Linked DNA regions of Ovis aries. The protein of the gene in region 2 interacts with the protein of the main gene of each other region in a pairwise test. Links are inferred from orthologs where the notes say so. Each region holds a gene or a part of one and is shown on either strand. Other genes may lie near its edges.

The links. The genes of interacting proteins can lie anywhere in the genome.
Region 1: the proteins of CPT1B (region 2) and TEX44 interact in binary tests that used the Homo sapiens proteins (3 or more experiments, as listed by UniProt). The two-hybrid records come from large-scale screens. The link is inferred for Ovis aries from reciprocal best matches to the Homo sapiens genes CPT1B and TEX44.

Annotation. Positions count from the first base shown.
Region 1 is NC_056055.1:233,325,736-233,328,596, reverse strand, and holds TEX44 (testis-expressed protein 44), read right to left. Parts: upstream 1,571-2,861; coding exon 515-1,570; downstream 1-514.
Region 2 is NC_056056.1:225,818,026-225,820,749, reverse strand, and holds part of CPT1B (carnitine O-palmitoyltransferase 1, muscle isoform), read left to right. Parts: intron 1-335; coding exon 336-443; intron 444-517; coding exon 518-602; intron 603-1,210; coding exon 1,211-1,406; intron 1,407-1,688; coding exon 1,689-1,874; intron 1,875-1,952; coding exon 1,953-2,058; intron 2,059-2,147; coding exon 2,148-2,264; intron 2,265-2,676; coding exon 2,677-2,724. UniProt on the Homo sapiens protein: Catalyzes the transfer of the acyl group of long-chain fatty acid-CoA conjugates onto carnitine, an essential step for the mitochondrial uptake of long-chain fatty acids and their subsequent beta-oxidation in the mitochondrion.

The DNA of each region.
Region 1 (2,861 bases), on a different chromosome or scaffold from region 2:
GAGTGACAGCACCCACAGCTCCCCACACCTGGCCTCCCTGGCCTGCCCAGGCCCTTCTCTTTCTCTTTTTTTAATTTTAATTTTTAAAATTGTATTGTCCATGCCATGTGGCATGCAGGATCTTAGTTCCCATGCTGGGGATTGAACCTGTGCCCCCTGCACTGGAAGGCTCAGAGTCTTAGCCACTGGACCACTCGGGAAAGTCCCAAGGCAGGTCTCTTTCTGCACTTTGGCTCCCAGCTCCTGAGTGGGACAAGCTAAGAAGCCCTCAGGGGGGGCACCTTTCCATTTCCAGAACACCCTAGCTCCCTCCTGTCCCTCCACCCTGAGCCCACTGCACAGACAAGGGAGGAGGCCGGCGCTTGGAAAATAAACGCTTGCCAGTGATTTATTGCCCAGTCTGGGGAGAGCTGTCCAGAGCAGGAGTGGGCGAGAAAGGGGGGGCAGGAGTGTCCCCCGGGTCTCGGGAAGCTGCCGAACATGGGGTCCAGTCCCAGTAGGGGGTGGCGTGGGCCTAGTGTGGGGTAAGATGGTTGGTCAGGTAGCACATGGCCGAACGGATGCCCTCGACAGTCCTCCGCTCCACTGATTCCAGCACGTGGGTGATGGAGTGCAGGGCCGCTCTGGTCCTCACCACTAACCTGGAGGACAGGGCAGAGCTGGCTCTCCCCAGGATGCTGGAGACAGAGCGCAGGCTGGGCCCTGGGGTGTGCAGCAGGTCTGACACGGAGCCACGGCCGGTGGCCAGGAAGCCTGTGGCTAGGCCCATGGTAGCATCGGACCACACCAGGATGTCTGCCAGGGAGCTGATGGACCCCTCGCCCCCGCCCAGCAAGCTGGTCATGGAGCGCATGTAGCTGTTCTCTTCGTCAGCCGTGGAGTCCAGGGGACCTGTCCCCAGGGCCAGCTCTCCAGGGCCCGGCGAGGCAGCGGTTGATGGCGAAGCATCAGGGTCAGGGTTCAAGGCTTCAGGACCCTCCAGCTTCTCCTCAACAGCTTCAGGGGTGTCAGCAGTCCCAGGGTCAAGCTGGTCCTTGGGGTCTGTGGTGCTCACGATGGGCTGAGCCTCCACATTTTGGGGGGACTGTGCCTCGGCACTTGGGGTGGCTGTTGCTGGCTCCTGCTCTCTGTCTGGGGTGGCCACTGCTTGTGGTTTCACTTCCTCAACCAGGGAGTTAACTTGGAAAATCTGAGGATTCTGAGTTCTGCTGGAATCTTGCAGCAGCCCTTTCTGCACTAGATTCTGGAAGCCCAGGGAATTTTTCAGGGCACCTGGGGCCGGGTCAGCAGGCAGGGCTGTGGCCTCCCTGGGCTCCTGGGCCTGCCCCTCGGCAGCTTCATGCCTATCTGCATCCCCAGACTCTGACGTGGTCCTCGAGGTGGCTGGCTCAGTGGAGACCTGAACTACATCCTGCTGTTCAGCTGATGTTATAGCATCAAGAGACGCTGGGTCATCTGTGAGGAGGGGGACCTGACTTTGGGACCCCACTGCTGGGAGGTCTGTAGACCTGCTGTCCCCATGCGGAGGGGCACTGGTGGCTCCGGCCTCTTCCGAGGGCACGGTGGTCATCTAGGCCCTTTGTTACTTGTGCTGGTTGAGAGAGTGGCCGTGGCCCTGCTGGGCTGAGCTCCCCAGAGGGTGAGGTCACAGGGGACTGTCGAAGCTGGCGATGTCACAGGTACTTGCAGAGCAAGGGGCCTGTGCCTCTGGAGTGGCTGCCCTAGTGGGCTGAGTCTGTGGGGCTGTTTGTAGCCATATTTTCAGATGTCTAAGGAGACGCAGGCAAGTGTCTTGGAAAAGCAGGGAGGTTGTATACAGGGCAGGTGCACACCAGGAATCGGGATGCTGTGGCTCTCGTGAAAGGATGGGATGCAGAGGTTGATTTGTAATAAATGTTATAAGGGACTATTCCCAGCACCTCTCTGTCCACACTGGTGACTCACTTGGCCAGTCCTTCTGCAGAGACTCAGTTTCACAGCAGTGGTGAGTAGGAACAAGGGAAGGGGAGGGGCTTGGGCAGCTCCCAGCCCTGACTGTCTTGGTTGTGGGGAGCTATAGACTTAAGGTTATGTCTCACCACAAAGTTTGTATGGTTGAAAGCTATAGTACTTGGAGGTGGAGACTTGGGGAAGTGATTGGGTCATGAGGGTGGAGGCCTCATGAATGGGATTAGTGCCCTTATAAAGGGGACCACACAGACTCCCTGGCCCCCTTCTCCATTTGAAATGCAGCTAGAAAACAGCTATCTATAAACCAGGAAGCAGGCTTCACTGGACACTGAATCTGCAGCCCAAATGTGCTAATACAGGGGTTAACCCTGTGATGTGGAATAAATAATCTCCATCTCTCTGCTTAGCTAGGCTGAGAGGGCAGAGAATAACAAACGATCTGTAAACCCTCGAGTGTTCTCTGGAAATGTGTGGATCCAGATAAACCTATTCGAGCTTGTGCTCTTCATTAAGAAGGTGGCTGGAGTGAAGGTTACAGTCTGTTGGGTCTTGCTTCCCCTGGGGTTATCAGTTAATATTTAGTGACTGCTTATCATAGGCAGATATGTGACTTCCCCGGTGGCTCAGATGTAAAGAGTCTGCCTACAATGCAGGAGACCCAGGTTTGATCCCTGGGTTGGGAAGATCCTCTGGAGAAGGAAATGGCAACCCACTCCAGTACTCTTGCCTGGAAAATCCCATGGATGGAGGAGCCTGGTAGGCTACAGTCTATGGGGTCGCAAAGAGTCGGACACGACTGAGTGACTTCACTTTCTCTTTTATCACGGACAGAAGAAGGAGCTAAACATCTAATCCTTCCAACTACCCTGTCATCTCTAGGTAGGTGCCATCTATTATTATACCCATTCTAT
Region 2 (2,724 bases):
TAGGGTGCTGCCATGCCCCTCCTCCACAAAGCTATCTTTCTAGAAACCTATGTGCAGCTTGTCTAGGCCAGAGGTTTTAAGCTGTTCTGTGGTGGCAGAACCTCTTCCTCCAAGAAAAATAAATAAAATGTCAACAGCTCCAAGGGGTTTGGAAAAGAAGCTCAGGTGGAAGCCAGGGCAGGGGGTGACATGACCAGTCATGTGTTTCACCTCTGGTACTTGGCCTCAGAGAGTGTGCAGGATGGACTGCGGAAAGGGGCCGAGACACCCCAGACAGAGGGCCCCCTGTGCACACGCGCCACGGCGTCCCTGCAGGCTCTGCTGTCTCCCTGCAGGACCTCGTGCTTGTCAAGAACACAGACGTGCAGGCTGCCCGCCTGGGAAATGCTGTCCACGCCATGATCACGTATCGCCGTAAACTGGACCGTGAAGAGATCAAGCCTGTGAGTTGTGTTGGGGGTGCGGGCGTGACCGGAAGAGGGGCCGCCATCTGAGCCGTACTGGGCCTTCCTCCCAGGTGATGGCACTGGGCCTTGTGCCCATGTGCTCCTACCAGATGGAGAGGATGTTCAACACCACTCGCATCCCGGGGAAGGACACAGGTATGGGGTCGCACCCAGGCGCCCGTGCTGGGGCCTGGGTGGAGGCCCCTCCCTGCCAGCCATGGGCCCACCACGCCAGTGCCCTGCTGCCTGCTGCTCCCTGAGCATCCTCAGCATGTTAGGGTCGTGACACTGCGAAATATAGTCAGTTTGTGGCCGATAGTAGACACCTACTATTTACAGGCACGATGCTACTGCTGGGGCCCTGAGAGGCCAGGACGGAGCCCCTCCCTGCAGGGCTCCTGGCACACAGGAAGAGCCTCCTGCACAAGAGCAGGAGGGAGCCTAACAGGGCTCCTGCCTTGAGGGGCCTGTAGAGCAGGAGGGCGGGCTTGCCCAGGGCCACCAGAGCGGCGCCTGCATTTCTGTCTCCAGCACAGCCTGTGATTTCCTAGAGCTCCAGGTTCCTCTTCTGTGAAATGCCTCATGGGACTGTGGTTGGCATTAAGTGAGAGACGGGGAAGCTCTGGCTCGATGCCCAGAGGTTGGCGGAAGGCAGGCCCGGCGGAGGCCCTCGTGGCCGCCTGGTGTGGGGCCGGGGGCCTTCGGGGAGGCGTGTGGGGCGGGGGCCCTGCTTCTGCCTGAGCCCACCCTGGCCTCCGCCACAGACGTGCTCCAGCACCTCCCGGACAGCAGGCACGTGGCCGTCTACCACAAGGGCCGCTTCTTCAAGCTGTGGCTCTACGAGGGCTCCCGCCTGCTCAAGCCTCGGGACCTGGAGATGCAGTTCCAGAGAATCCTGGACGACCCCTCCCCACCCCAGCCTGGGGAGGAGAGGCTGGCGGCCCTCACTGCAGGGGGAAGGTATTGGGGCCCACGCTGGGGCACCAGGAGGAGAGGAGTTCAGTCCCACGTGCCACCCTGGAGCTCAGGCAGGAGGCCTGACGGAGGGACGTAGGCCCGGTGTGCCCGGTGTTGACCAGGACCTGCCATCGTCAGGAACACCGGTGGCAGCAACAGGGAGTCGCTGCTGTGACCTCTAACTGCTGCTGGCTGGATGGGGGTGTGCAGAGACTGCAGACACAGGTCCTGGGCAGGGCTCTCATCCTGCAGGGGGCCCCGCTCACTCTGCCCTTGTGCCCTCAGAGTGGAGTGGGCGCAGGCACGCCAGGCCTTCTTCAGCTCTGGCAAGAACAAGGCTGCCCTGGACGCCATCGAGCGCGCTGCGTTCTTCGTGGCTCTGGACGAGGAGTCTCACCACTACGACCCAGAGGACGAGGCCAGCCTCAGCCTCTACGGCAAGGCCCTGTTGCACGGCAACTGCTACAACAGGTACACGCCCCGGCTCCCCCGCTCGCGGGCCCCGGAGCTCCCCACGCCTCCCCCGCTGCCCTTCTCCTCCCGCTGCAGGTGGTTCGACAAGTCCTTCACACTCATCTCTTTCAAGAACGGCCAGCTGGGACTCAACACAGAGCACGCGTGGGCAGACGCCCCTATCATAGGGCACCTCTGGGAGGTAACAGGCCCTGGGAGGGGCCCTGCAGCGCAGGCTTGGGGTGGGGTGGCAGCGCAAGGACCGCCTCTCAGCCTGACCTTCCCCTGCAGTTTGTCCTGGGCACCGACTCCTTCCATCTGGGCTACACAGAGACGGGGCACTGTCTGGGCAAACCCAACCCTGTGCTGCCCCCGCCTCAGCGACTCCAGTGGGACATTCCTGAGCAGGTGTGCGGGCCGAGAAGGGGCAGGGGTGGCTGTGTGAGAGTGGCAAGGGCCTGAGATGCCCTGCAGGCCTCCCCTTTGTCCCAGCCCCACTCTCAGGGGGAAGGTCCGAGTGTCTCTTATGGTCCAGACTGACTCCAGGGAGAACAGAGACCCCAGGACCGTCTGGGGGTTGGAGAAAAACGTGAGGCATGAGCTCATGTCTGGGAAGCACCTGTCAGTGCCCGCTCCCCCGCAGAGCCCAGCCCCGCCTCTGCACTAACGCCCCCAGCCTGTCTGTGGCGTCTCCTCCTGAGGCCATCGAGGCCTGCCCAGCCTTGCCTTCCTCCGTTACTAACCCTCAGGCCTTCTGGACATGACCCTGGAGCCCTGCTGGAGAGCTCTGCCCCCAGCTGACCTCTCCGTGTCTTGGCAGTGCCAGGCTGTCATCGAGAGTTCCTACCAGGTGGCCAAGGCTCTGGCG